4 linked regions of the Stegostoma tigrinum genome follow. The protein of the gene in region 4 purifies or fractionates together with the protein of the main gene of each other region. This does not show direct contact. Links are inferred from orthologs where the notes say so. Each region holds a gene or a part of one and is shown on either strand. Other genes may lie near its edges.

Region 1 (8,351 bases), on a different chromosome or scaffold from region 4:
CTCAGCAGCTGTGACCCTGTATCCTGCACTCTGTTCTCTTGCTTTAATGCACTTGTACAGTACAATCTGACTGTAAAGCACATAAGACAATACTTTTCACTGTACCTCAATACTCATGACAGTAATAAATCAAATCAAACCAAATCAAAATTAGTGAGGGTGCCTGGCTTGTGGCCAGCCAAAATTGAGAACGCTGATTCAGGAAGCCCACAGACACATCAAGAGAATGAATTGGGGATGTGCAGGAATGAGGTTGAGGCATCATAAGAAGTACACAAGCCTCCAAACATCTACCCAGACCTTCAAGCATTACCTGACATGCACATGGCAAAGTCTGCAACTCACACATTGGATTTAGAGGTATCTTAGGACCCAATGAGTGGAAGCAGGTAATCTATGATTCTGAGGGGTTGTCCTTCTACATGAAGGATGTTGATGGAGTGATAGAGTGCAGAAAAAAATTACAAGCATATGTAACTGGAAGGTTGGGGTTATAGTGAGAGACTGAATGGGTCAGGCATTTTCCCTGGAGTGTTGGAAGCAGAGGGTTGACCTTATGAGGGGCATTGAAAGGGTGAATATCCATGGTCTTTGTAATTGGGTGGGGGTATCCAAAACTAGAGGGCACAGGTTTAAGGTGAGAAGGGAAACATTTTCATGCAGAGGGTGATGCGTATATGGAATGAGTTGGTAGAGGAAGTAATGGAAGTGGATACAATTACAACATTTAAAAGACATCTGGATGGGTATATGGATAGGAAGAGTTTAGTGGGATATGGACCAAATGCTGGCAAATTGGATTACATCAGATTGGGTTTGCACAGATGAGTTGCCTGAACAGTCATTTTCTTGCTTTGTGACTCCATGACTCTATTTTTGTCTGAGAGAAGGATAGAGCTAGGGAGAAATGGAAGATTACAACATTGATTTCCAATGTCAGGTGGGACAAGAATGCCAATTCCTAAATGAGTTGGGTTAGGGAATGGCGGGGGGAAGGGGAGGTGGTGTGTACACCAAAGACTTAATTTACTGATTGGCGGTCCTGTTTATACAAATCTGTTATAAGAATATGGGAAACAGGAGCAGGAGTTGGCCATATGGCCTTTCAAGTCTGCTCTGTCAATGAATTGTTGAACTTCTACCTGACTTCATTTCCTTTCTTATCCGCTACATATTTACCCCAATTGTGATACATAATAGTTTTGCTAAAACAAAATTATTGTGGTAACCAAGTGCCCAATTTTAATGATGAAACAAATGGATAAAGACATCATAATTCGTATCATATCATATCATGATCCATATCTGAAGAAGGGTGCCAACCCGAAACGTCAAACTTTCCTGCTCCTCTGATGCTGCTTGGCCTGCTGTGTTCATCCAGCTTCACACTGTGTTATCTCAGATTCTCCAGCATCAGCAGTTCCTACTATCTCTGTAATGATTCATATCATAGTTGAAGACAATATATTGCGAAATGCAGGTCTCCTTAATTTATAGGGGTAAAGTAAATTGCATACTATACTTTGTATTTTTTATTAAATCCACAGATCATACGTTGTCATGTTGGGTTTATAAAGTAGGAGACTGGGCTATCTCAGAGTCTATCCATTTGCCTTCTTAATTACAGAAAGGTGATTTTTCTTCTTTGTTAATTCTATTGCATGCTTACTTACGTGGGGGTGTGACAAGAGTTGGTAGCAACGAACGGTGATAGTTGATCGTTAGGCACTAATAGGTCCAGTAAACTTCCAGTTCAGGGGTCGTAGGAACTGCCGATGCTGGAGAATCTGAGACAACAATGTGTAGAGCTGGATGTAGAGCTGCTGTGTTCATCCAGCTCTACACCTTATTGTCTCCAACTTCCAGTTTAATTCGTTACTGCCTTATTACGTTGACGCCTATGGTCCTTGTTTGGGAGAGTTCCAAAGATAGCGGTGACTCCAAAATACCTCTTTATACGTGTGAGTCTAAACAGAGTATCAGCGAACTATATACTCACAGACAGATGAGGCTGAACTTGACATTCATATTTGCAGGCAGCTGTGAGACTTTGATCAGGATCTTAACGTCTTTACTTCAAAAAAGTAAGATTTTGGGTTGAAGCAAAAATATAAAATGCTGGAAATATTCAGCAATTGAGCCTGTAAGCGAGAAGAGACTAGCAGAATTAATATTTAATGTTGATAACCTTTTGTCCACTCGTAGCTCAGCTAGCTCCTTGAAGGCTCCGCGGATTTCTAGCTGGGGAGGGAAGGGATCAGAAGGAAGCCTGTTCTCTAAAGGGTTGCAAGATAAGGACTGAATTGTGCCGAGCGATGAAAACAAAAGAACAGGGGAGAACTCTGCGCTGAAGCGCTTTGGCTTTGCGGAATTTCTTGCTTTGTTTGTTTCACTGTAAGGGTCTCTTTCATTGGTTGTCATTGGAAGACTGGGTGTTATGAGAGTGCTAATTGGCCATGGTTTGCTGCCGCCAAGCTCCAATTGCCCCGTGTCCCTCTCCCCCAAATCTATTGACTGTCACCCACTTGGTGGGGGGTTAAACCTGGGCTCCGTCAGGGTGCATTTCACTTCGGGCTCAAATTTTGCAACCGTTCGGCGGAAATGCTGCGCTTTCCTGCCCTGTCCTATCCGGCTGGAGATTAAAAAGAGCAACCAATCGTGAAAAGCAAACATTCTCTCGCGTTTGTTGCGGAAAGCACAAGTTTCCGTTCGTTTTGCACGGAGGGATTTGATGCAAAGTTTTTCCTTTCACCTCACAATCGTTGTTCCATAATCCAGCCCCGCGCGTTATTTGCAAATACAAAATCTCAAACATTCAGAAAAAATTTACAACGTTATTGCATTGCGCGAAAAACAATTTTCTTTTGCATTTTACTCGTTCATACGTAATATAAGCAACAGCGTTGTCATGATCATAGAGTCTACAGCACAGAACAAGGCTATTCGACACATCTTGTCTGTTTTCGTCAAAAAGAAACACCTAACTATTCTAATAGATTTTTTCAGCTCATGCCTTGCCATCGCAGATGCACATCTAAAGCTTTCTTAAATGTTAAGAGTTTCTGCCTCTGCCACACTGATGGGCATTGAGCTCTACATTCCCTCAGTTCTCTGTGTGAAAAAGATTTTCCTCACATCTCTAACTCTTCGACTCCTTAGCTCAGATCTATGCCCCTTGTTCATTGATCCCTTCATTGAGGGGAGAGGTCTCTTCCTGAATACTCTTATGTCCCTCATAATGTTATAATTCTCAGTCAGGTCTCCTCATTCTCCTTGTTTATGTTTTATTGAATCTTGTTAGGTATATTGATATACATATATATGACTGTATTTTGGGTATTTACAAGGCTTTGTTAAATACACAACTTTACCATTTTTATTTTGCATTTAAATCGTTTGTGTTAAATGGTATAAGACTACATTGTTTTTACTTGCATTTTGCAAGGCTTTGTTAAACATTAGATTTCACAAATTTTTGCACATATATATAAATTTGCAGGTATCCATTTGTAAAACTTCTTTGTAAGTTCATTTCACTAGTTAAATATAAAACATTGCATTAATAAAAAGCAGAAAATGCTGAATATATTCAGCAGGTTTGGCAGCATCTGTGGAGAGTAAATCTGAGTTAATATTCAAGTTGAATCTAACTACCAGAATCCACAGTATTTTGCTTTTATAATAGGTTTTCTTCCTTCACTTCTCACAAATCTGTTAGATATATAGCACATAAGCACTGCAGTATTTTTCTTTTGCTTAAAAGTCCCTTACCGATATAAAACATTATTGTTCTATTTTATGAGCTTTTATGAAATTTTTATGAAATTGCTGGAAAAGCTCAGCAGGCCTGGCAGCATCTGTGGAGAGAAATCAAAATGCAAGTTTTCAGTCGACTCGTCTGAGTTTTTCCAGCAATTCCAGCAACAGGTCAGACGAGTCGACTGAAAACTTGAATTTTGATTTCTCTCTGCAGATGCTGCCAGGCCTGCTGAGCTTTTCCAGCAAATTCCATTTTAGTTTCTGATTTACAGCATCTTAAGTTTTTTTCCCTTTTTTACTTAGTTTATATATATTTTTCTTTCAACTTTTACAAATTGATGTTAGATCAATTGTTGGATTTGTTTTTATGAGTTTTTGCTTATGTATGTTTTCTTTTACATTCTATAAGTTTGTTATATATACGAACAGAAGTAGGTATCTAAATGTTCCACCACTCATTTACAGGTTGTGGTTGATCATTTAACTCCACAACCTTTTACTCCATGGTACAGTTTGGAGTCAAAATCCACAAAAGACCATAGCCATATCTATGCAATGGGGAGAATTAGCTTGGGGGTAACCACCAGAAAGTGCAGAATGAGAAACCAAGTCTCCATGATCTCCATCCAGTGTTGGGATTGAACCTCTACTGGTTTATTCTGCACCACATTTTAATGTACAAAATGTTGCATTTCTATCTTGTTTTACGTCTTGCTGGTAGATTTTTCTTTCATAATTTACAACTGTGTAAGATTTGCAATGTATAAAACATTGCAGTTTTTCTTCTGTTGCATTTTCCCACTGTTTGCTTATATTTAGTATCGCATTCAACAAATTTCTGTTAGATACATCACAACAGAAGCATTGCACTTTTTTGTGTGATGAGCCGTTGTGTTTTTTTTGCTTATAAATATATATAGGCTTTGGCATTTTACAAATTGATGTTCGCAGTAAAAAAAATTGCTGGCTGTGTTTTGATAGCTTGGGTGTGGGATTGTGACAGGGCCGGAGTTCCGGGGTTGCTGCTCATGCCAGGTCCCGGGAGGCGGCGCGCGCGAGGTGCTGGTGGCGGTGAAAGAAGGGGGGGGGATCACGTGACCAGTTGACTGGTTGACAAAAATGGCGGCGATCCCCGAATACAACATGGATGCCGGAAGGTTGGAGTGAAGCAGGGGGCGACGGACGAGAAGGAGGAGGAGGGGGAACAGAGAGAGGGGGTAAAAAAGGGAAAACAAAATAACAATAAACACATCGAGGCTCGGCGCCTCCCGCCCGGCATCTGCGGAAAAGGGAGGCGGGAAAGAGAGTCTCTGAAAATAATAATAATAATAAATCCAAATCTTTCTTCGCCCCTTTGGGGTGGGAGGGTTGAGGTGGTTTTGAGGGGAAGGTGAAGGAGGCAAAGGGGGGGTTAAAATAAAGTGAGGCGGAGCTGGAGGGGGTGGGGGGGGGTCACCATGAGAGGAAGGCGAGGTAGGCCGCCCAAGACGCTCGATGCTTCGCCGGCGGGAGGTGGCGGGGGACCGGCCGGCAGCCTGAGGTACCGGGCTACCGGGGTCGGCAGAGGCAGAGGGGCAGACCGGAGGCTGAATCACGCCGAAGCTGGCGGTAGAGGGAGCCGGACCTCGAGAGGCGGCAAGGCGGGGAACCGGGGCAGGGCCAAGGCCGCGGCTCAGCAGCAACGGCAGGGCAGCCGCTCCCGCAGGCTGACCGTCAACAAAGTCATCTACGACGACCACGAGAGTGAGGAGGAAGATGAGAGTCTGGTGTCCGAGGAAGAAGACGACGACGACGAGGACGAGCGGGAGAACGACGACGAGGACGAGCAAGATTCGGATTATCACCAGGCCACCGAGGAGGAGGAAGAGGACGACGAGGACGACGATGCTAGTTATTGCACGGAGAGCAGCTTCAGGAGTCACAGCACTTATAGCAGTACTCCAGGTAATGTTTCCAACATCACCAGAATCCCGTCCCTTTTTATGTTGAAGAATGTATTGTTCGATGACACCTATATGACATGTTTGGTTGGACTGTTTGGAGATCCCACTTTGTCAGATAATTACATACGCAATATTCATCAAACTCTTTCTGCATCCGTGCATGCAACAGTTGCCATGAAATGAAATTTGCGAAATGCGACTTAAGTGTTAGGAAACGTAATCTGACCTAAACTGTCATTATGATCCAGAGTTGCATTAGTTTAATCGTGCGGAGTAAGTAGTTTGTTGCAGTGATGCTGAATGGTTGGGATGTGTCTAAACTGTACACAAACTGTTGCTCATCCTGCTAATGAGTTGACTGTGGGCTTGGGGAAGAACCTCTGTGACAACTCGGCAGTCCAATTGCTTTTGACATCAGGGAAACAGTTTTAAATCTGGTGCTATTTTTCAATCTTAAAATAATTCTGTTTTATTTGGTCAGTTATTCTAATATGAGAAAAACAAGAAAAGAATGAAAATGTAAAACTGGGAATTTGAAACAAAATAATTGGAAACTCCAACAATAACTCAGTCTTAGTACTAAATTATTTTGTTTTACCTGGCGAAAAACAGAAAAGTTTCAAGTCAAGATCCAATCATCAGGACAGTTTAATAGTTCTTATGAAATAAGAAAACACAGGCATTCTCTGGTTTATATTAGATTTCATAATTTTTAACAACTGTGATTTTAAAATTGTTGGAGGATTTAAAAAGTCCTGTGCTTTGGAAAATAATAGAGTATACTAAATATTTATCACTCTCTTATCAGAATTAGATGTTCACATTGTCTGTAAATTTGAAGATGAGTTTATTTTCAAATATTAAACATTATACTTATTAACAATCCTGCCAAGCTTTAATTTCCTTGCCATTTGGAAAGGTTAAACTGTCTTTGATTCTTAATCTTGTATTGTCAGTAATGTGAAAGATGAGCAAGGATGTAGGCTCTCCCTGAGAATCAAATTGACACTAGTTGTCATTTTAGCTTTTAAACTTATGACATGCCTCCATCACATTGAGAGATAGGAATTGGACCTTGATCTTCTGACCCAACCATAATTTTAGTTGATGTAGCTATGTACCACAATTCCTCATGAAAATAGTGGTTGATTAATTTTGATGTGCCCAATACCTTTAGTAGAACGCTGCATATTTAGATTATGAATATTCCTCCTGTTCTGCATGCCAGTACCTCTTTTGGGTTTTAGTTCTTGCCAGTGGTGGTCATAGCGGTTTCAATTCTTTTGACCTCCTTCCATGCTTTGTGTGCTTGCACGTGATGTACAATATTCTGGTTGTATTTAATCCCAGGCTAACTTTCCTCTCCTTCAGCAGGGCAGTTTGAAAAATTGAGCACTCTACCTCTGGAGTATTTCCTGACTGTTTATGCTGAAACCCACGTCCCTGTTGTTATCACCCCAAGAATATTTGTTTCATGTTCCCAACCCTGGCATATCTGCTTCACAGACAGTAGCCTATTAAGAACTCAACCTAGGACCTCTCCAGTAGTATTCTACATATCCGTTGCCAGTTTCCTGGAACGTGTAATTTCGGCATCCACCACATTAAAACAGTTAAGTACATTTGAGGTTAAATCTCATCTACATGGTAAGCAACCCTCTCCAGTTAAGTCTCCATTGTGGCCCATGGATCTTCAATATTTCATTACTTTGTCCATGAGCTTTCTGTCACACCTCTACCAGCCATTACTTTAATCACAATGGTCCAGATCTTTGGAACTCATTTGGAAATATTGTTACACTTTTACCTTCCTTCAAAAACCGATGTTATTTTCTCCTTCCAACCTACTCTGTCTATGTCTTTACCTCTACCACCCGTATCACAATGCACAGACTTCTTGATTCTGTGGCATCATTTGTAAAATACATAATTTTTCTGAGTGGAATTTGAAATGAAAATACAGCCATTAGGGTAATGATAATTTGCTTTATAACAAGCAAAAAGGTTGCTCTAAATTTCTTTAAAGTGCCATGCACCAAATCACTCCAAATCAAAATTTTGTTTATGTGTATTTGTGGTAAGTACTGATCAATTAATGTTGTTCCTCTTATTTTGTATCTGTTTATAGATGTTTTGACAAATATTTTGGTTCATGAAGTAGGTCGAGACTATCCCTCTAATAATGATATTTGCAAGTGAAATGTCAAACACTTAGTGAATTAAATGCTCAATGTTGCATTCTTCAGTGGACTTAAAACAGAAATGCAGTCTGAATGGGCAACCAGTTTATTAACGCATTCTTTTCTGAAAAGTCATGGAAACAGGAGTTGGCCATTCAGTTAGATTATTTCTGATCTGTGATTTGGTTCTGCGTCTTTATCATGCTATATCTGAACCACATGCTCGTAAGCTAACTGCTCATCATTTGACCTGACAATGGTGTATGCTCATAATGTCTTATAAAAATTGGATTTTAGTACAGTTGAAAGTGGAAAATATATAGTGCAGCTCAGCAGGAGGCCATTTGGCCTAATCACTCTGCTTCTTTTGGAGATTAATCTGGTTGGGTCCCCTGTTTCACTCTGTCTAATTTTCTGTCTTCTTCCCCACCCAAAACACAGTCTTTCACTATTTCTGTGCAATTTTTTT
Region 2 (7,421 bases), on a different chromosome or scaffold from region 4:
TATAAACCTCCATTAAAGGTCACCCCTCAACCTCCTGCACATCAGTGAAAAGTTCTAGCATTTCTAGTCTAGTTTTATATCTCAAACCCTCCATTCTCAACAAATCCTAATGAGTCTTATCTGAATCATCTCTAGTTTAATAATACCCTTCCATTCCATCTCACTTGAAAGGTAACAAACTTGACAATGTAGAGTTAGGCCCAATTTCAGTTCTCAACACGTTCATGTGCTAATTGAATCACTTTCTGACTGAGAACCAAAGACTACAGAGTTAGGGCTCACAAGAAGTAGGAAGTTATAACAGTTCATAAGGGGTCAAAGTATCTTTCAGACTAACTGCTGTAGCTAGTTAGGTCCAAAACAAGTTACGTAAGTCATACATGGAAGCACACAAAAGGTAAATGTAGTCCAACTAGCTCATGCATGCATGTATGCATACATACTTGTTAGGCCATGCACCAGCCTCTCCGAGCTTAAATAGCTCCAGCTATTTCCTCAGAGGGTAGCTTCTTGAGGTATATCTTTGTGGGTTTTTCTTTTACATCATTTCCAGGGCCTACATAGTTCTTTACAAAATAGAAACCAGAATTGTGCAACAGGTTGAGAGATAGAGTATAAATACAAAATTGGTGATTAAACTATGTTAACATAAAACATACAAAGCACTTCACAGGAACATTGCCGTATAATACTGAGAATAAGCCACAGATAGAAGTATTAGGATCAATGTAATCTACAGGTCAGTTTAGAGGACAGAAAATTTTAGAAAGAGTATTTCAGAAGCTCACGTTTAGATAGCTAAACATAATTAAAATGAGAGATGTGCAAGAAGCCAGAAATGGAACAGCAGAGTGACCTGGTAGGATTGCAGGCAATTACAGAAAAAGTACTGGGCATTCATAAACAAAGATGAAGATATTAAAAATCAAGGTATTGCATGATTAGGGTACAGCATAATCAGCAAACATATTGAGTGCCAATACAGATCGAATTTTAAATACGCTCAAGTTTATGAAGTTTGGAAAATGGGAGGGTGGCCATAAAGATGGGACAGTTATGATGTCAATAAAGGTTTCAGCTACTAAAGTGGAAGTGGAATATTTTAGTAACAGTGTGAATACACAGTCAGAGGTCAAAAAGTTTTAAATTCCCTGGCTCACTCTCAGAAAGCAACCATGAGGGGGAAGCATCTGGTGGCTAGGGAACAGAATTCACAGTGGGGCCTAGAAACAATTGCCTTCAGTATTTCAAATCTTGAGATGATGAGCCACCTGTGCTCATCCAGTCTATGTCAGGTAAGCCACCAAGAAATTAACCCAACTGCTTAGGTTACAATTTTAAAATGGTCTTCCTAATGTGCATTTATATTTACAACGATGGACTCGAGATCCCTTTGTTGCAATTTTTTTCTAGCATCGTGCAAACTTTTAAATTTTCCTTCAAAGTGTAACTCCTTGTATTTGAGGTTCATGTACCAATAAATTAATTTTCCAGTTTATTAAAGGAGTCACGTCTTTTGATCAAAATTATTCTCTCCATTTCTAACTAAAACAAAAAACAAATTGCCTGATCTCCATCAAACCACTGTCACACCATCTTGAGATGGAAACTGGCATAATGAACATTCTGCCTTGGAAACAATACCTTGTAGGATGATTCTCTTCCATCAAAGTAAATATATTGATTGGCTACAAATAGCTTAGCCAGTAGTTCACCCAAAACTGTTAAACAATTTACCTTTTACACAGCTAACTAGCACGGAGGAACGACAGTAAAGTGACATTTGGGGTTCAGACCAAAACCAGCCCTGCTGAATAAGTGGGTCATATTCCAAATTGGAATCAGGAAATATTGAATGAACAGACAGTTCTACAAAACCAAGAGCAGCAATAACAGAAGAATGACAACGGGGCACCAACAAAACTACTCACTGCTGACCAGCAATCAGACCCAGAATAAAATGCATTAAAACTGCAATTAGCCCCTATCAGATATGTTGGCCCCAAAACGTTAATGAGTACTTTCTGAAGTTAGCAGATGGAGGTGACTGGCCGAGACATTGACGTCTCTTTAAAGAGAGGTGGAGATTTGGGGATGGGCTAATGCTGGATAGGGCAAACGAGGGACATAAGGGATTACGGTGACAGAGGAACGTGAAAGGATTCTGTGTCAGGGACAAAGGGAGAGTGTGAAAGAGACAGAGAGAAAAATGTGGGTTAAACAAGGTATACGAAGGGGGGTGTTAGGGAGGGAGAGAGTGTAAAGGGGTTAAACAGGGCATGAGGGGGCGTTTTGGAGGGTAGAAGCTGTGGGGAGTGGGAGGTAGAGGTGATTGGAGTGTGTGTGTTTGAGAAAAAGTGAAGCGAGCGAACGAAGCAGGGCCATGGAGATTCATTGATCCTTTCCTCCTTCCCCACCCTCCGTTTATTTCTTCGCGGTGGCTTCCAGAGGCCCTCAGGGCTCCTCTGGACCTTCCGCGGGTTGGCGTAGCGGATCCCGGGTGGAGGATTCCTCCTGAGGATAGGGGGCGAGGATCAGACAAAGAAGGGGGAAAGGGGAAGCGGACTGCGCGTGCGCCGTCAGCGACGAACCAAGTCTATTCTCCCCCTCCCCCAACACACACACCGAGTGCCGGCGACCGTATTCTTCACCGGACCCCATCCTCCCTCCCACCACCCGTTATCAGGGCAGACAGGACCTGGGCGGTAAACCGGGGATGGAAGGAACGGGGTTGTTTACATGACGGGGGACCCGATAAAGATGAACACGAGGCGGGTAACCGGCCGCTCTCGCGGCGGGCAGGACGGGGTTGTCGACGGATCCGATCTCTCTCCCTCTCACCTGGTCCGTGCCCGGAGTCTGCATCTGGGGTTCGGCCGCCATCGCCCCCAGCTTCGAGCTCGCCTCCTCCACCTGCCCGTCGGCCGGGTTAGGGTTCAGGTTCAAGTTGGCGCTCGGCCTCTCCTCGGCTTCCGACATGTTCCGTTCTCCTTTCCCGCACCTCCCCACGGTTGAATTGAAAATGCCTCACCGGAGCCGACCTCTCACACCGTTTCCCTCCAACACCACTCTGCCGCCGGGTCGGCTCCTCCGGCTCCCCCACCCCCTCAGCCGGCTCCGATCTTCCGCTCAACCGCCTACTCGTCCACCTCCGCCGCTGCCCGGCTCTCGCGATAACGTCCTCGCCAAATCCCGCCAGACGTAGCTCCGCCCCCTCTCCCCCAGGGACCGCACTCGCGAGAACCTAGATAATAAAATGTGAGGCTGGATGAACACAGCAGGCCAAGCAGCATCTCAGGAGCACAAAAGCTGACGTTTCGGGCCTAGACCCTTCATCAGAGACTCTGATGAAGGGTCTAGGCCCGAAACGTCAGCTTTTGTGCTCCTGAGATGCTGCTTGGCCTGCTGTGTTCATCCAGCCTCACATTTTATTATCTTGGAATCTCCAGCATCTGCAGTTCCCATTATCTCGCGAGAACCTACCCGGATTGTTACTTTTGGTTTGAACTGTTGCTAAGTAACAGTCTGGTGGCGGGAATAGAGAGTGCAGGGTGGAAGGTTGCAGAGAGGCAGGAGAGTGTAGGGTGGAAGGTTGCAGGGCGGTGAGAAGCAAGAGGGTGCAGGTGGCTGGGCATTGTGGATGGTCTAGGGTAGTGAAGGGTCAGGGAGCTGGGACAGTTTGAGGCATCTTTAGGCGGCAGGGAGGAGGTAGCCCAGGCAGCATGGAATGTGTAAAGGAGTGAAGTAGGAGGGATTGAAGAGTGTCCAGGGAACGGGATAGAGGTGGCCAGGCAGTGTGGAGGGTGTAGGATAGTGAAGGGGCAGGTTGGAAGGTAGTAGGAGGGAATAAAAGGAGAATGGAATAGATGACGAAAAACTACAGTCTAAGTCCATAGTTTTCTGGTTTCTTTGAGCCTCTGTTCTGAAATTGAGTTCTTGTGTTTGCAGTTTTCCGATCTCTGGGACCGTTCCAGAATCTGTGGAATTTTGGAAGTTTATAACCAATCCAACACTTACTCTGTAGTTACATGTTTTAAGAAGCTAAGATGCCGGTCAATGGGTCCTAGAGACTTATCAACCATTCGTCATTTTAGTTTCTCTATTGTTTAATCACTCTTGATCTATCATATGATTATTCTTGCCCAAGTGATCTTTTACAATGAAGTTATTAATTAATCCTACCTTATATATTAGTGTCTCAAATAGCATATTTCCTGGTTAGTTCCTGAAAGTATTGTTGGAAGTGTCCATTATCTAGCACCACTAATCCTGTTATTTCGGACGTGGTTCTAGTCCTGCTGCATCAAACATAAATTTAATTATTTCCTGCTTCCTTAAATGATGAGTCATGCACTTATTCTATATTAAACTTAAAATCAAGCAAGCAACACAAAATTATTGATTTTTATAAACAAACTTATTCAGGTTGTTACAACACTGGTTAACAGACTTAGTTTGCAATTGAAAATATAAAAATTCACCTCTGAAATAATGAAACATGGAAGGAAAAGTGCAAAAACATGCTGGGTAAGGGAAAAAGAATCATTGCACGCTGTAGAGATGCATTTTGGGGAAACAAAGGTGCTTTGGGCATTAGGTTTTAGTTGTTGATGGCTACAAAAAAAGATAAGGTGTGGAACGTTGAACTGACATTCTGGTATCCAGAGGACAGTCAAGAAAGTCCAGTGATTGTATCTGGTTTCTTTGCCAATGTAGCTTGCTCAGAAAAACACTGTTGAAGATTCTTCCAATCACTGTCAGGTGCACAATCAGTGTTAAGACTGGATCGGGGCTCCACATTCCAGAATGAACCTACAATAAAATGTCACTTCAGAAACAGGAGAGATAGTCTGGGAAGTTCATTTCCTTCCCCAGGCTGGCCGTCAACAAAAAATTCTATATAATCTCCAAGGCAGACTCTGCAATACGACAGTTGTAAACACAGGCAGAGCGTTTGCAGTAAACAAGCAGTTTTCACAAGCACCACATATTTCACTTGGGAACCCTGCAGCCCAATGGTCTCAATGTAGACTTCACAAGCTTTAAAATCTCCCCACACTGGACTTTATCACAAAATCAGTCTAGCTCGTCCCCGCCTCCTTGACCTATCCGTCTTTCCTCCCACCTATCCGCTCCTCCTACCTCACTGATCAACCCCTGCCCCCACCTCCTACCTATTATCCTCATCCCTGCCTCCTTGACCTGTCTGTCTTCTTTCCACTTATCTGCTCCTTTATCCACCTTCTATCAGCACCTCGCCTTTCTCGCTATTTATTCCAGTCCCCTTCCCCTCCCTCATTTTTGAAGAAGGGTCCAGACCCAAAACGTCAGCTTTCCTGCTCCTCTGATGCTGCCTGACTTGCTGTGTTCATCCAACTCTACACCTTGTTATCTCAGTTTTCACAAGATGTGGCTTTCAAGAGACATTTATTGAAAAAAAATACAACTTTCTGTCCAACTGTTCTCTCTCTTTGTGCTTCATCCCCACCTATTGTTTACTCCCAACCTTCTCCCCCAACCCTTTCTCCTGCATATAAACATCCATTTTCCTGGCTACCATCCGTTCTGAGGAAGGGTCACTGGACTCGAAATGTTAACTCGGATTTCTCCTCACAGATGCTGCCAGACATACTGAGCTTTTCCTACAATTTCTATTTTTGTTACAACTTTCATTAACCACTTTTAAGAATCCAAGTATTCATAAAGCCTTCAAAAATAATTAGATTTAAAGCATCCATAACATCACCTGTCTTGAAAAGTGATTTGAAATTACACAGTCTAAACAAGAATAAAATATACAAAAACTTAAGACAAATTTACACGCATTCTCAGTCACTTTTCCCTGCATCTTGTGCGGTTATCTCGATACTTAATTATTTGATAATTTGAATAAAGTTACATTCTTGACAGAACATCAGCAATGACGTTATTTCTTGCTGCAGTGTCAATGACTCTTAAGTGATATGCCTGTAATAGCAAACTCCACAGAAATAGCCTGGCATTTTGTTTCTTGAAAATTTTCCCACTTCCCTGCAGCCATGATGGACTTTTACCTCAAAATGCTCAAAGGGGAGTAGTAATCCCTTTTTTTTCCCTACTGTAGAGTGTCTCTGTTGATGTGGATTTAAGTTGTTGGAAACATATCCCACTGACTTCTCTAAACCCAATTCATCTTGTAATATGACCTTACCTACCCTAAGTCACTGGTATCAATTGCAACATTGGATTTAAATTTAGATTTAGATTTTATTGTCACGTACTCAAGTACGGCATTCAAGAGCGCAGTGACAATCACACAATGTTGCCACGCAAGACACCATCTTAGGTAAGATTTACCTTGGTATAAAATCTTTGTTACAGAAATAGAGAAATAAAGAAATAGAATAGTGGGATGAATCCTCCATATTACACTGTATTTATGCAATCCAGGAATAACTCAAAGAAGCCTGAAAATTATCTCATTAACATCTTAGAGCATCCCGAGCCATGATGAAATGGGGCAATAACTGGCTCCAATCCTGAAGAGCAAAACCAGGTGATGCTCGTATTTCTGTCTTCAAAAGATGAATAATTTGGGATGGCATGGTGGCTCACAGTTCCCGGGTTCAATTCCAGCCTTGGGCGACAGTCTGCGGTTTCCTTTGCGTGCTCTGGTTTTTCTCCTGCAATCCAAAGTCGTGCACATTAGGCAGATTGGTCATGCGAAATTGCTCAAAGTGTCCAGGGTTGTGTAGGTTAGGTGGATCAGTCATGTAAAGTATGGCATTAGCAGGATTGGGTGGGATGTTCTTCGGAGGGTCAGTGTTGACTCGATGGACAGAATAGCCTGCTTCCACACTGCAGGGATTCTATTTAAAGAATGGTTCAGCTGTCCATATAGTATAGTCAAAAAGTTTGGTAAAGTACATTGGTTCAGCTGTGTCATATCTATATGTTGAAGCAATACCATCTCCATAAATGTAATCATTTGGATTGGGTGATAAAGGTGGTAGTTAATAGATGAAAAGAAAATACCATAGGCAATTTAGTGAAGAGAATGAAAAAAAAACCTTGAATTGAGTGCTAAAGCAGTTATATGAATAAAGCTTTCTGAAGTTTTTGTAAAATTAGGAGCAGTTAACACTGGCTCATTGATCAAAATTGCTTTCAGCCTCAACAGCTGCTTGGCACCTAACTAACAAGACTACGTTGGCTCTGTTTTGCATTAAATCCATCAATGGAACAGTAATAGTACAAAGATTGGTACATTAACTGTTATGAACATCCTTGTTAAGTCTTTTTCATTTTTCTATCTCTACATAGGAAAGCATAGTTAGCTAGCAAACAGTTTATTTTGGCAATTGTCCAGTCATTGTTCTGCTTTATTCTCACCATCCATTGCATCCTTTACCGTCCTTACTACCTGACATACCTGCATTAGC
Region 3 (7,707 bases), on a different chromosome or scaffold from region 4:
CGAGAGGATAGGGCCCAAAGAGAGAGAAAAACAGTTGGATAGACAAAGGAGGGTGGGTAGTTGTTAATGGGGGCTGTTATTGACTAACAACAGGGAGTGTGTAATGGCAGGCTATGTGGTAACAAGGCCTGATGTGTGGGGTGGGGGGCGGGTGGCTGGGACATGGGAGAGTTTAGGCCCTAAAATTATTGAACTCAATATTGAGTCCGGAGGACTGTAGGGTCTCCAAGCGGAAAATGAGGTATTGTTCTTCCAGCTTGTGTTGGGCTTCACTGGAGCACTGTAGCAAGCCAGAGCCAGAGATGTTGGTCAGGGAGCAGGGTGATACATTACATTGAAGTTGCAGGCAACAGGTAGTTCAGGGTCTCTTTTGCAAACACAACATCGATATTCTGTGAAGCGGTTGCCAAGTCTATGCTTCGTTTCCCCAATGTAGAGACCACATTGTAATCAGTGAATGCAGCAGACTAGATTCTTGGAAGTGCAGGTGAAGTGTTGTTTGTTCTTCTTCAATTTCACTGCCCCTCTCATACCCCACTTCCTATAATGACTCTATCCCATTCTCTCAGTTCCTCTGTTTCCATCAGATATGTTCAGATGAGGCCCACTTCAACAAGGGAGCCTCCAAAATGTCCAGCTTCTTGTCGTGCCGAAATTCGTCTGTGGAGAGAAAGCAAGCTAGCATTTCAAGTCTAGATGACTCTAATGAAGAAAAACCAAAAGATCTGCGGATGCTGTAAATCAGGAACAAATACAAATTAGCTGGAAAAGCTCAGCAGGTCTGGCAGTATCTGTGAAGGAGAAAACAGAGTTAACATTTTGGGTCCGGGGAAACATTACCTGAAACTGAACACAAAATATTACCTCTGTTTTCTCCTTCACAGGTACTGCCAGACCTGCTGAGCTTTTCCAGCAACTTTGTTTTTGACACTAATGAAGAATCTGATGAAGAGTCATCTGAACTCAAAAACATTAGCTTGCTCTGTCTCCATGGATGCTGCCTGACCTGCTGTGATTTTCAGCTTTTTTTGTTTTCAGTAACCCATTTTCTCACTCTTAGCTCTTATTATCTCTTATTCAGTTTGCTATCTGTCTTGGCCTGATATCCATTATCTTCTTGTTTACCGGCCCCTTTCATATCTCTATCTCTGGGGTCTGTCTCCACCTATCTTTTCATCACCCCTTTGTCCCCAGTTTGGCTTCAGCATAAATGCCAGTTTTCCTAGCTGCCAGAGTCACCAGACTCAAAATATTAACTTTTCTTTCTTCCCAAAGATGTTGCCAGATCTGCTGAGTTTCTCCAGCAATTTCTGTTTCTGTCTTTTAAAAACCGGCAAATCCCTCTGTGCTGTAATTATCTTCAGACTTTCTCCATTAAAATTATGTCCAACTGCTCTATTCTTCCTGCCAAACTACATAATCTCACATTTTCCCACATTATATTCAGTCTGCCAAGTTTTTGCCCATTCATTCAACCTGTCTATCTCCCCTGTAAACTTTTTGCGTTATTGTTCATAGTTTCTCTCCCATCTATTTTTGTCCCATTTGCAATCTGGGTTCTCCAAGTAATTCAGCTATGGCCCAACTAACATCTTATGCAGCTCCATCATAACCTCCCAGTAATTGTATTCAATGCCTTGACTAATAAACACAAAGAGATATTGCTGGAAAGCTCAGCAGGTCTGGCTGTGTTTGTGGAGAGAAATCAAAGTTAACATTTTAGATCCAGTGACCCTTCCTAGGAAATGAGATGACAAAGTGTGGAGCTGGATGAACACAGCAGGCCAAGCAGCATCTTAGGAGCACAAAAGCTGACGTTTTGGGCCTAAACCCTTCATCAGAAAAGGGGGAGGGGGAGAGGGTTCTGAAATAAATAGGGAGAGAGGGGGAGGTGGATTGAAGATGGATAGAGGAGAAGATAGGTGGAGAGGAGACAGACAAGTTAAAGGGGCGGGGATGGAGCCAGTAGAGGTGAGTGTAGGTGGGGAGGTATGGTGAGGATAGGTCAGTCCGGGGAGGACGGACAGATCAAGAGGGCGGGATGAGGTTAGGAGGCAGGAAATGGAGCTGCGGCTTGAGGTGGGAGGAGGGGATAGGTGGGAGGAAAACAGGTTAGGCAGGCTGGGACAAGCTAGGCTGGTTTTGGGATGCAGTGAAGGGAGGGGAGATTTTGAAGCTTGTGAAATCCACATGATACCATTGGGCTGCAGGGTTCCCAAGCGGAATATGAATTGCTGTTCCTGCAACCTTCAGGTGGCATTGTTGTGGCACTGCAGGAGGCCCAGGATAGACATGTCGTCTAAGGAATGGGAGGGGGAGTTGAAATGGTTCGCAACTGGGAGGTGCAGTTGTTTATTGCGAACCGAGCGGAGGTGTTCTGCAAAGCAGTCCCCAAGCCTCCGCTTGGTTCCCCCGATGTAGAGGTAGCCACACCGGGTACAGTGGATGCAGCATGTGGATGTGCAGGTGAACATCTGCTTGATGTGGAAAGTCATCTTTGGGCCTGAGATGGGGGTGAGGGAGGAGGTGTGGGGGCACACTTTCTCCTCTATCCATCTTGGATCCACCTCCCACATCTCCCTATTTATTTCAGAACCCTCTCCCTATCCGCCTTTTCTGATGAAGGGTCTAGGCCTGAAACGTTAGCTTTTGTGCTCCTAAGATGCTGCTTGGCGTGCTGTGTTCATCCAGCTCCACACTTTGTTTTCTCAGATTGTCCAGCAGCTGCAGTTCCCATTACCTCTGATACAATTTTAACCCTTCCTATGAACTTCGGGAAGGGTTCTGAAGAAGGGTCACTTGAGCCGAAATGCCAACTCTGATTTCTCTCCACAGATACTGCCAGACCTGTGTTTGTATTTCTGATTTACAGCATCAGCAGTTTTTACCTCTACTAATAAAGATCATAAGACCATATCACACAGTAGCAGAAATTAGGCCACTCGGCCCACCAAGTCTGCTCCGCCATTTAATTATGGCGGATAGGTTCCTCAGGAATTCCATAATAAAGGCAGGCATTCCTTATGCATAACCACAGCTCCAAGATTTACAATCTTGGAAGACCAACCTTTAACTAATTTCTATTTACTTTATTCTGAATGTCATTTTGAATTGTGGGTCAGCTGGCAATATTGGCAGAGTACAAACATAAAATTGATATCAACACAACTAATAGAAAAGGTGTTCGTGCCCTTAGATAAGCCACACCCCAATTACCTGCAGGGGCCCCAGTGGCCTAATGGATAAGGCACTGGCCTCCTAAGCCAGGGATTGTGGGTTCGAGTCCCATCTGGGGTGTCCAATTTTTAAAGCCTACTTGCTCTGCAGGGATCTTGAATGTTTCTGACGTTCACTTCTCATCTACTCTGTCAAACTCCCTGTTCCTACGCTGAGATCGTAGCAAAGGATGGTTCAATAAAATCTTGAACAACGCAATTGAAGGAGTTTGGGGATATACAGAAAATTGGCTGAGTTTTTCACACAGACAGCACAGCCACGATGGGCTGAATGCCCGCCAAGGTTCAATTGCTTTGTTCTCATTGCAGTTTTGCGCAATATTCTCCACTTACTCAGAAACAAATGATTACTGGAGCAGAAAGATTAACTTTAATTTCTCTTCCCAGGCGCTGCCAGACCTGCTGACCTGTTGCAGCAATGTTTTCTTTCTGCTTCTGATTTACAGCATCTGCAGCTCCTTCGGTTTTCACCTCCACTTTCATTCTCCCACTTACTGCAAATACCTTCACACTGCTGCGCAAAATAGCAACGAGTAGCCACATCTTTCTCCTGTCTGCTCGGAGGCGAGATCAATTCATCAAGCAGCCAGCAATTTAGCATTTAAAATGTGCATGAGATGGAAGGGGAAAAAACCCAATCAATTACAGTATGAAAAAAAGAACACCACCTCGAGCGAAGTATTTAAATGCTTCAATTTCCATTTAAAACACGTAGCCCCAGTGGCCTAATGGATAAGGCACTGGCCTCCTAAGCCAGGGATTGTGGGTTCGAGTCCCATCTGGGGTGGGTTGAATTTACTTTACTTACGCTAAAGTAACTTTTGAATAATTGTTCCTGACTACGTTTCTTCAGAATTTTGATGTACGTATTTTACTTTCAAACCTTTTTGTTGATATTAATTCGGAACTTTTTCTCATTTCATTTTTGAATTTAAAACGTTTAATGAAATGTATCCACTTTTACGACTACATTCATAGAAAATTTTATGATTTTTCTACTGATTTTATTGGAATTTATTTTCTACAATTATTACTGTCAGATTTATTGTTAGGCATCTTTTTCCAGTGTCCTATGTTGAAACCGTGTAACTTTTACCTTATCCTTCTGCCTCCTGTAGGAAACATAATGTAATTACAGTTATTGTTGGCGTTTTGTTCGAGTTAGAAACATACACATACATTAACATTGATTATTTCTTTAATTTTATCACGTGTTATCTGATGAGGAATTACTCGCCCAAAGGTGAACTATGCATATTTGTGAAAACAAAATGTCATTTGCATTAGAGATAGCAGGAACTGCAGATGCCGGAGAATCTGAGATAACAAGGTGTAGAGCTGGATGAACACAGCAGGCCAAGCAGCATCAGAGGAGCAGGAAGGTTGACGTTTCGGTCCCAGACCCTTCTTCAGGGGAAAAAAAAATGTTTATTTGCATTGTTGAGGGTAACAAACTAATAGTTGAGAACGTGTCATTAGTGAAATATGAGCATCTGGACTGTTCAGTTTCCAGCTACAGCCTGGGATCCTCTATGTCACTTTAACTTAGAGTCTTGTCCAGACGGTATCCATTTTTACAACCCATGTTAGAAGAAGACTAGCGAGTACAAGGCAGTGACTTGCGTTGTTTACGTGATGAACAGTCCAAGGCGAAAGCAATTCGTTACTTGAGTTTTCTTTTCATACTCGTGTCGTGATAATGCGGTAGTAGTGAGACCGCAAGTGGTGACATTAGGATGGGAAGCTAAACTGTTGGAAAAGGCGGACCTAGAACTTCTGTAGAAAATGTATGATTTATGCGGTCTCGTGGCTTTTCCAAATTGCTTCCAGAATGATTAAGTTGTAGAAAGTTGGACAAGGACTTGGAGGGTACTGTGAATAGTACTCAGCCCGCGGCGGGGGAATGGATCGATGTGCTCTGTGCTCGTTTATTTCCGCCTGCTCGTGGCCTCTCCGCTTCAGTCTGGCCAAGATGGCGGTACTTGGCGAGGGATGGCGGCCCCAGTTGGTGTCTTTATGGTGAGAGTTTCAGTTTGACAAAGCGTGGGTTTGCGGGCGTCTCCCGAACCGTTAAAACAGTTAAACTCCGAAAAACCGGTTCAGATCCCCTGGGGAGCGGCGGGAGGAACGGTATCCGGTAGGCGGCCAACCTTATCGGACAAAGCAGCGGTGTTTCCTGGATGCCGCGGCCGAGGAGAGCGCGGTCGGTGGGCGGCTGCTGATGGAAGGTTTCGGGCGGATGAGCGTCGGAGGGTGGGGGAAGATGGGCGCAAAGATTGAGAAAGGGCGGGAAGGCAGAGCTGTCTAGGAAGAAGTGACAACCTCTGGGCAAATCTAAAGTCAAATATAGCAGCATGAAATTTAACTTTTATAATTTTAGTATTTGTTGTGTAACCAGTAAGTTATTTTAAATTGTGTTCATTTTTTAAAAAAAAGTATTCTTTTCCGAATTACATTCTTCTTTGAAATCCGAAATTAATCCATGGATGAGGAAGTTTTGCCTCTCAATGATAGTCTGTTTTGATTATTATGTAGATATATATTGGGGAAACTTGGTGACAATTGTGATGCTACAGAGGGTATTGCCTTAATTAGACGATAGAATAAATCACACAATTGTGGATGCTGGAAGTCTGAAACAAAAACAGAAATTTCTGGTGAGACTCAGCAGATCTGACAGCACATATGGAAGGAAAGAGAGTTGACTTTCGAGTTCAGTGATTCAGTTTTTTGTTCAGACCTGTGGAGTTTCTCTGGTATTTTTTATTTTGTGTAAGAGGGTATTATTTAAGAGTTTTCAGGACAGAATCAGGTCATTTGGATAAACTGGCCTGAAATATGTGTGTCTGTATTAACCTCTGCCCATTCCTCTTCACCACATGATGTCCTCCTTTTCTCCAGCATGTTTATAATGCATCATTTCCCTCCAGTCGTTTTAGCCAAGTCCCACATTCTCCTGTTTTTCAATGACTTGTACGCAGTACTCCAGAAGTGGCCTTATTAATATCCGGTACAACCTCAACATGATGTCTTAGCTGCTATACTCCTAGACAAAGCGATGAAGACAAGCGATTAAGACAATGCTAAACCACCCTGTCAACTTGTGTTGCAACTTGCAAAGAACTGTGTACCTGAATGCATGGGTCTCTATGTTCAACAACAGTACCCAGGGCCCTACCGTTAACTGTATAAGTCCTGCCTTTGGTTGTTTCAACAAAATGCACTGCCTTGTATTCATCCAAATTAAACTCCATCTGCCAAACCTCAGCCGGTTGGTGCAATTGATCAAGATTCCTTTGTATTCTTAGATAACCATCAGTGTTGACTATATCACCAATTTTGGTGTCATCTGCTTACTTACTAACCATCCCTCCTAAAATTCTCGTCCAAATTGTTTCTATAAATGACAACCAAAAGTGGAGCAGCTCCAGTCCCTGTGGAGCACCGCTGGTCACCGGCCTCCAGTCCGAAAAACACCACCACCACCCTGTGTCTCCTTCTGTCGAGCCAGTTTGTCTCCAGTTGGCATACTCTCCCTGAATTCCATGTGATTTAGCTTTACTTATTAATCTGTCATGTGGAACCTTGTCAAAGGCTTTACTGTCGTCCATGTAGCCAATGTGTACGAATCCTTTTGGTTACATCCACAAAAACTCAGATTTGTGGGGCGTTGTTTCCCAAGTGCAGAGCCATTTTTTAAGACTCCTGTTCTGAACAAGACTGTATAGAACTGGAAAAGTTAACTTTGTTTCTCTCTCCACCGAAGCTGCCAGACCTGCTGAATTTCTTAAGTGCTTTCCATTTCTGTGCCTCTTACCACTGTTCATCTAACTCAAAAAGGTTCCTTTTGTGATAGGAAAATAAGGAACAAGACTCGACCATTCTGCCCCTGGGCCCTATTCTGCCCTTCACTTGTTGTGGCTGATCTATTCCCTCAGGACACTTTCCTGCACTAGCCTCATATTTCTGGATGCTCATAGCATCCATAAATCTCTACCTTGAATGTACTCGACTGAGGATTCACAGCTGTCTCTGATTTTAAAAAAAAATTCCAGAGTTTTTAAATCCCTTCAAGTGAGCAAATTCCTTTTCAGTCACTGCAAAATGGTCAACAATTTATTCTGTGAGCATACAGTTTGTTCCCAATCTTCCCACCATTTCCCTGCCGAACCCTTTGAGAATGTTACATGCTTTGGTGATCACCTTTCATTCATTGAAACTCTGGGAAATGCAGACGCAGTCTGCTCGGTCACACCTCAGGACAATCCCCTCATCCCAAGAATCAGACAGTAGGGAGCCTGCCAAATGTCTAGATTTTATGATGTTCCCTAAATATATTGGCAAGGACTTGCAAAAATCTAATGCATTGACAAATCAAGGCCCTTTTGTAGGCGGGGTGAAAATGCCAGCGGCAAAAAATTAGGTGAAAATAAAAGTTACAATGAATTTATACCAGATCAGTATAATATGA
Region 4 (7,803 bases):
CCATTCCTGCTTTCTCTCCATACACTTGATCCCTTTAGCCACAAGAGCTATGTTCAGCTCATTCTTCAAGATATCTAATGAACTGGCCTCAACAGCTTTCTGTGGTAAAGAATTCCAGAGGTTCACAAATCGAAGTTAAGAAATTCTTCCTCATCTCAGTCCTGAATGGTTTATCCTTTATTCTTAGGCTGGAAATCCTAGTTCTGGACTTCCCCCAACATCAGGAACATCCTTCCCACATCTAGCCTGTCCAGTCCAATCAGGATTTCATATGTTTCTGTGGGATTTTTGCCTCATTCTTCTAAATTCCAGTGAGTACAAGTCCTATCAATCCAAATCTTTCTTCATAGGTCACTCCTGCCATCCCGGGAATCCGTCTGGTGCACCTTCACTGGACTCTCTCAATAACAAGAATGTCCTTCCTCAGACTAGGAGGCAAAAACTGCACACAATACTCAAGGTGTGGCCTCACCATGGCCCTGTAAAACTACAGCAAAGCATTCCTATTCCTAGGCTCTAATCCTTCTACGTAGTCAGTATCAGTAAATCTTCAACAACAAAAACAAGGTTGTTGGAAAAGCTCAGCAGGTCTGTGAAAAAAAAGTCAGAGTTAACATTTCAGGTCCGGTGACCCTTCCTCAGAATAGTAAATCTTCATCTTGCTTTTGGATGAATGTACAAATTGGGAGGTATCGGCCAATCAACCCATCGCGCCTGGTCAGCTATGGCTTATCCAATTATTCCATGGTCCTAGCTAACGCAAAACATTTCACCCTCTTGCTTATTAAGAATTTATCTGCATCCATCTAGTCACTACTTCCATCGCCTTTTGAGGAAGAGACTTGGTGGGAGGGAGGGGAATGGGGCAAGAGGAGGCGGGAAGATGTGATGGTAGGAGACAGGTCCACTTTGTGTCTACTCTACATGCGAAGCAACTCAGACACATGTCAAGTACACCTTAACGGGCATTTTTCTCAATTCACTGAACTGCATGTCACTGCAATAGGATGGCAATCCAAGGCTACAATTTGCTTACCAAGTAATAACCTGGGGACTACCACTGGCCAAAGCAATTTAACTGGACCATAAATATTGTCGCTGTTAAAGTAAGAAATTCAAGAACTTACTCCCTGACTCCCCAGAGCCTTTTCACTTCCAACAAGACACAAGTCAAGAGTGGGATGAAATACTCCCCACTTGCCTAGCTGACTACAACTAGATCAACACTCAAGACAATCAAAAGCTTCTTGTGCTTTGATTGGCACACCAATCATCACTTCATCATTCACTCCCTCCACAAATGGTGCTCAGCAGCAGCTGTGTGGACAACCCACGAGTCATCTCTGAGTAATTCACCAAGACACTTGAAGACTCCTTCTAAACCCACAACCACTGCCATCTAAAAAGGACAATGGCAGCAGATTCAAAGGAACAGCACCACGTGAAAGTTCTCCCTCTAAGCCATTCACCATCCTGATTTGGAAATGAATTGCTGTTCCTTCAGTGTTACTGGATCAAAATCCTAGAACTTCCTCCCTAACAGAACAGTGAACCTATCTACAAGATATGGCAGTGTAGCAGCTCAAGGAGCATGGGGAGTCACCTCCATCTTCTGCAGGGTAGTTCGATATAGGCGCTATCGGTCAGCTCAGCCAATTGTACCCACATCCAAACCACAAAATCTTTTATAATAAACAATAAGAGAGACTACGCTTACCTTGGTTGACGCTGAGGTCATCCTGCTGGTGTTCCAACAGTCAGGAGAGAAACAATTCCTAAGCCCAGGGACTTTGCAGAAGGAAGGGTAAACTCTCTTAGCAGATTTCCAGAACCCAAGATGGGCCCAAATTCGAACCGATCAATGCCAAACAGCCTGACGTGTGACACAGGGATAGCCAACGCCTGATCCAAGGTACTTCCCCAATTTCAAGTGAGGGGGGACCTGAAATGATCTTCTTTACCACTCCCCAATCCCACAACCAACTGTTCAACCAACGAACAACCCTCCAGCTCCACTTTAACAACCCAATACTGGTGTGATCTGATGTTATGCAACAAGATTGCACCACAATTGCCCCCTTACTTTGTGCAAACTTGAAGATGGGTCACCCCAAAACTAAGATAAAATGCTTAATTTTCTTTTTTTGGTCTCTTTGTGTGATGAGAGGGAGTTTGTTACTGATATCAAAACAGATAGTATCAATGCAGTGCACGTGCAACAAGAATTTATGATCAGTTTGCCAGCATTTTTTTTAGATGCTTTTCATCTCTTTCCCCCTCAGTTGTTATTGAAGTTGCAATGCAAGAAGCAAGTGGGAAGGATCTCTCCCCTCCCCCCAAAAACTCCCTCCAAGGGTTTGATTGACAGCTTTTCCCTGGAAGCTCAGGGCCGGGATCCACTTTTCCCCAGGTTTACCCACCCTGTCCCTCTACCACCCTCACAGCACAGGCCAAACCCTCACTACTGCCGCGGCCTTTTCCACATCCGCCGACGGCCCGCGTCTCCAACGGCAACACATTGTCTCCGCAGCGATTGGCCAAGAAAGATGTCTATCACTCTCCACCCCCTGCTCCATTGGACGGGTGCCTTCCGGGACACGCAGGGTGGTTGGACAAGATGGATGTCAATCAGCACCTCTGGTCCCACCCTCCGTAATCCGCGCGGCTTTATTGGACGGCATCATCCGGTGCGCCATCTTGGTTGGTCTACATTTTGTCAATCAACAATCCTGCTTATTCATTGTAGAGATGATTCCTATCCACCTTTCCGATTGGTAAGAGCCGATAGCAATCAACACGCAAAGTCCCGCCCTCGATCGTCAGACTGTCTTTGGCGGTCAAGCCTCGAATGGGCGGCTACGTGAATCAAATGGCATCTCTCACTTCTGAAGAAACCTCACTGAATTCGAAACGTTAACTCTTCTTTCTCTGTGCAGAAGCTGCGACACCTGCAGGGTTTTTCGACCAATTTCTGTTTATGCCCCCCTTCTTAAACCCGCATTCAACAGCTTCATTTCCATTGAAGGCTTTGTCCAATTGCCCATCGATTGGCCTTGGCAAATGTCAATCGGTTCTCACCCTCTTTCCCCAACACCCACCTCCATCCACTCAATCCCGCCTTTTCAGAGATACTCCGTTTCCATTGGACAGTCGCCTTCCCGATACTGTTTTCCATTGGTTTGACCCGACGTCCATCAATGTTGAGGTCATCATGCACCTTTGGGCCCCGTCATCGCACTTCCCATTCGCCCGCCGATTGGTTCCTGCCGTTGCCTGTCAACCGACACCCCCCCTTTACCCTGAATGATTGGTTGGTCTGCAGGTCAATCCATTGGAAAGTCTCGACCCGCCCCTTTGCTCAGCGATCCTATTTCCCAACGTCACTGGAACTGGATTGACCAATGGAGAGAAAACGGGGAGGGCGGGGCCCATGTATGATCGACGCCTCTATTAACCAATTGGAGTAGAGCGTGGACGGGAATCGTTGGAGGCGGGAAGATGTCCAATCAGATCTGGCAACCCGGTATGTACAAGTTGTCCAGTTGTCTTGTAGTATATGTATAAAGTGCTGACATTTCTTTCAGTGCCATTTTCCGCTTAATTTGCCATCAGAAAATAACACTTTGTTTCATTAACAACGTCATGTACCCGCCATCTTATCATGTTAGATATGTGCCTGGGTGTGGACAGGTAACCAGGCAATGGGGGAAGGTCATCCGAAACCTGACTGCCAGCCTATCATCCCTGGCTACACATCGCACCTCAGAGAGGCAGCACTCTGTGATCATGGTAGGCCTTGGATGTTGATTTGATTTAATTTATTGTTGTCACATGGAGCTAAGTACAGTGAAAATTGTTGTTTTCCCAGGAGAATGGGAAAATCATAGCAAACAAGGACATACAGATTCCGCTTAGTCAGAATAAGGCTTACAAGGTTGCACCTCACAGGAGGCATGCAAAGCAAGATTAACATTGACACAAGCAACATTATTTGAAGTTACTATAGTGTGGAGCTAAATGAATACAGGTCAGAAACATCAGACTCTGATGAAGGGTCCCAACGTGAAATGTCAACTTTCCTGCTTCTCTGATGCTGCCTGACCTGCTGTGTTCCTCCACCAACACACTGTATTGACTCTGACTCCAGAATCTGCAGTTCTTGCTATCTCTGATTATTTGAAGTCAGAGTCTAATAACAGCAGGGAAAAAAACTGTTCTTGAACCTGTTGGTGCTTGTGCTCAAGCTTCTGTATCTTCTGCCTGTCAGAAGAGCTAGGAAGAGAGGATTAGAGTTCTGTGGCTAAGGACTGCTGGTGTACATCATATATATTTTCCATTACTTGTGCATCACATGGGCTGGATGAACATTGAAAGGCAATATAAAATAGATGGTACAGTTCTAAAGGGTTTGCAGGAGTTGAGGGACCTGAGCAGAGGTATGCGTGCCCAGATAATTGAAAGTGAATATCAGGCAGAAATAGAGCAGTCAGGATACAGTGTCTTCTGCTTTATTAGTAGGGGCATAGAGCAATGGGGTGGTTTTGAACTTATGCAAGACATTTGCCAGACTTCAGCTCAAGTATAGTATACTGTTCTGGGCATCACATTATCGTACAGACGTGAATGCATTGGAGAGAATGCAAATGTGGCTTACAAGAACAGTTTGTTAAATTCATTCACAGGGTGAAGACATCACAGGGATGGACAATAAATGCCAGCCTAGATAAATTACCCGAGGGCAGTTAAGGCTCAACTACTGCTATCGTTCTGGAGTTACATTAGGCCAGACCAGTAAAGGATGGTAGTTTCTTTCCCTGAAGGGCAACAGCAAACCAGATGGATTTTTCCCAACAGTTGGCAGTGGATTCATGGTCATTAGACTAGATTTTTGTTTTTTTAAAATTGGAATTCAAACTCCACCATCTGCTGTGTCAGGATTCAAACCTTGGTGCCCAGATATTACCCGTGTCTCTGGATTAACAGTCCAGTGATACTAGGTCATTGCCTCCTCAAATGGTTCCAAGGATGAGGAACATCAGTCAGGAGGATATATTGAAGTTGACATTGTTCTGTTTGGAGTGACCTTCTGCTGATAAGAGATTTGATAGAGGCTTCATAATGATGAACAGGCTGAATTGAGTTGCTAGAGAAAAACTATTCCTATTTGTATAAATTAACAAGAATGAGAAAGTATAATGTAATTCACTAAAACAGCAATGGTACAGTGAGGAAAGATGAAATATTTAGGTTATGGAATGCACTGCCAGGAGGTGGAGGGAGGTTGAATTGAGGCACTCGAGGACATTAGATTAGAAAAAAAAAGTGTGCGAGAATATGGGAGGAAAAGCAGGACATTGCCTTTCGTGAGCATTACTACCTAGTGCCAATGGCCTAGTGGTATTATCTCTAGACTGTTAATCCAGAGACCCAGGTAATGTTCTGAAGACCTGGGTTTGAATCGTGCCATGGTGGAATTTGAATTCAGTAAATATCTGAAATTAAGAGTCTAATTTTGACTGAATCCATTGCAAGTTGTCAGGAAAAACCCATCTGGTTCACTAATATCCTTTAGGGAAGGATATTGCCATCCTTACTAGATCTGGCCTGGCCTAGCCTACATGAGTCCAGACCCATAGCAACGTGGTTGACTCTTTAATTGCCCAGAAGGCAGTTGAGATAGGCAGTAAATGCTGGCCTAGCCAGTGACATCCTCATCCTGTGAATGAATAAAGAGGGATAACAAATGCTCATTTAACAAGGCATGCAGGCACAAGGGGCTGAATGTCCTCCTGCAACATAACAGCTCCATGATCCTAACATCTTTGCAGCAGGTTGGATTTGAACTAAGGCCTTCTAGTACAAAGGTAAGGACATGTACAGGACATGCAGGGGCTCAGTGGTAATCATAATCCCACAATGACATTAAAATTTAAATCAAAGTTGCTTTTGAGATTTTGTCTTTCATTACATTGCCTCTGAGGGTGTGTTAATGACGATTGACAATTAACTGCCAGCCACATAGTTACGTTACAGCTTAGAATCATTGTTGTCATACAGCACAATCAGGCTGTCTCTTTACAGACTCAAATGACAAAAAAGCTCAAATACCGTGAATTTCATCCATTTTATTATTCTAAAATTTCAAATAATGGATCATTTACATTTGTTTTCCACAGTTACATCAACACAAACTACTCAAATTATAACTTCAAAAAAAATGACAAAAATAAAAGTTTCTCATGAACAGACAGGGCCTCGTGACTCAAGGTCCTACATTAATATTTGTAGACTTCTCTTGCTATGAAAAATTGGTTGTGAAATAATGGAATTGGAAAGGAAATGGGAATCTTCTGAAATCACTCTCTAAACACATCCGGATGGGTCAGTGACTGACACTGACTGATGTGCAATACAAGCGTCAATGTTTCTCCTCCCCTCTATTTCTGCAAAATTAGAAAATTATTTAAAGAGATTCCAATTTTCATCAGGTAACAGAAACCGTAGTCCAGATCCTTGCTTTGCCTGTGCTTCCTTCACAAGATTAGTTTTGGTCCTGAAAACAAACACTGGGGTGAAAGATGGCCAGGGAAATTCCCCTGCCCTTATTCAGCAATGGTTAGGCCTCGAAGCTTTAGTCCAACTCCAAGCAGGCCTATTACCATAGCAACAAGAGTACAACACCTATAGAATGCCAGAGGGATCTGACACAAAGTATGGAGAATCTCAGCAAGTCTGGTAAGCATCTGGGGAGACAAAAAACAGTTAATGTTGAGTTCAACACTATTCTTCTTTGGAAACGAAGAGGAGTCATACAAGACTTGGAGTGTTAACTGTTTACGCCTCCCGTGGATGCTGCCAGGCCTGCTGAGTTTCTCCAGAATTAGTTTTTTTTAAAAACTTCAGACTACCAGCATCTGCACTATTTTGCTTTTACACAAATTAATGTGCTGACCACCCCAAAAGTCCTGCGAGACAGTCCTCCCCTTCCTTCTAACCACTAACTCCAAAAATAAAAGCATCACAACAGTCCTGCCACCAAATGGGATACATTCCTTCACAGTAGAGTATCTAGGAAGACAAACTAGACGTTCACAGTTTCAACACCACAGCCTATTCTTCCATCCCAACCTCACCCACTCCGGCAACAAAATGGCTTTGACGTTGTCAGGCTTCAAAGTACCACCAAATCTGATGCGGCTTATGTGTGACCATGTAATGATGAATACACAACTTGGAAGGATTCCAGAGGGACAATGAGAACGGGGCAAGGGAGGTGAAAAGAAAAAAGTCTTTCAACAAGAGGTTCCCACAAGAAAGTTTTCAAGCAAACACCTTGTAACATTTATTCAGACACATCTGAATGCCACCCACCACCACATCATTTAAATTTCAAGTACAATTTTATTTTTGTTTCAACAATTGATGAGAGAGGGAGAGAGAGAGAGATCTTTGAATATTTAAAAAAGGTAACAGCAGTTGCTTGGGTTAGAGGGTGGCAGCACTTTAAATAAATAATGAGATGTCTTAGCGCACCAGATACTCCTTGCGTTTGTTAAGGCGAATCTGACAGAAGGAGAACCCTCCCAGGACAATGTAGATTCCAGCTGCAATAAAGCAGTTGTAGCTGACTTGCTCGTAGATTCGATAGATTCTCTGTGGAGCATCAGTGCTGTAAGTGGATCACAAAAAGCAAGGAACCAGTTAGATACAAAAGTTCGAGCTCTAATTTTAACATTGCATGTCCCCCTCCTGCTGTAGCTTCACAACACCCTCCTCTTTCGACCTCCAAACTTTAACAGCCCT

The links.
Region 1: the proteins of chromatin complexes subunit BAP18-like (region 4) and bptf purify together in Homo sapiens (affinity purification with mass spectrometry; 5 studies listed by BioGRID and IntAct, with this or other methods). This does not show direct contact. The link is inferred for Stegostoma tigrinum from reciprocal best matches to the Homo sapiens genes BACC1 and BPTF.
Region 2: the proteins of chromatin complexes subunit BAP18-like (region 4) and SWI/SNF-related matrix-associated actin-dependent regulator of chromatin subfamily A member 5 purify together in Homo sapiens (affinity purification with mass spectrometry; 5 studies listed by BioGRID and IntAct, with this or other methods). This does not show direct contact. The link is inferred for Stegostoma tigrinum from reciprocal best matches to the Homo sapiens genes BACC1 and SMARCA5.
Region 3: the proteins of chromatin complexes subunit BAP18-like (region 4) and hmgxb4a purify together in Homo sapiens (affinity purification with mass spectrometry; 4 studies listed by BioGRID and IntAct, with this or other methods). This does not show direct contact. The link is inferred for Stegostoma tigrinum from reciprocal best matches to the Homo sapiens genes BACC1 and HMGXB4.

What each region holds. Positions count from the first base shown.
Region 1 is NC_081375.1:10,334,858-10,343,208, forward strand, and holds the start of bptf (nucleosome-remodeling factor subunit BPTF), read left to right. Parts: upstream 1-5,216; coding exon 5,217-5,703; intron 5,704-8,351. UniProt on the Homo sapiens protein: Regulatory subunit of the ATP-dependent NURF-1 and NURF-5 ISWI chromatin remodeling complexes, which form ordered nucleosome arrays on chromatin and facilitate access to DNA during DNA-templated processes such as DNA replication, transcription, and repair.
Region 2 is NC_081354.1:14,750,683-14,758,103, reverse strand, and holds the start of SWI/SNF-related matrix-associated actin-dependent regulator of chromatin subfamily A member 5, read right to left. Parts: upstream 3,174-7,421; 5' UTR 2,980-3,173; coding exon 2,842-2,979; intron 1-2,841. UniProt on the Homo sapiens protein: ATPase that possesses intrinsic ATP-dependent nucleosome-remodeling activity.
Region 3 is NC_081391.1:4,173,129-4,180,835, forward strand, and holds the start of hmgxb4a (HMG domain-containing protein 4a), read left to right. Parts: upstream 1-4,408; 5' UTR 4,409-4,479; intron 4,480-4,787; exon of another isoform or gene 4,788-5,255; intron 5,256-7,707. UniProt on the Homo sapiens protein: Negatively regulates Wnt/beta-catenin signaling during development.
Region 4 is NC_081398.1:7,353,799-7,361,601, forward strand, and holds the start of chromatin complexes subunit BAP18-like, read right to left. Parts: upstream 3,089-7,803; 5' UTR 1,739-3,088; coding exon 1,718-1,738; intron 1-1,717. Other genes in the region: rnaseka (ribonuclease kappa-A), read right to left, coding at 7,525-7,669. UniProt on the Homo sapiens protein: Component of chromatin complexes such as the MLL1/MLL and NURF complexes.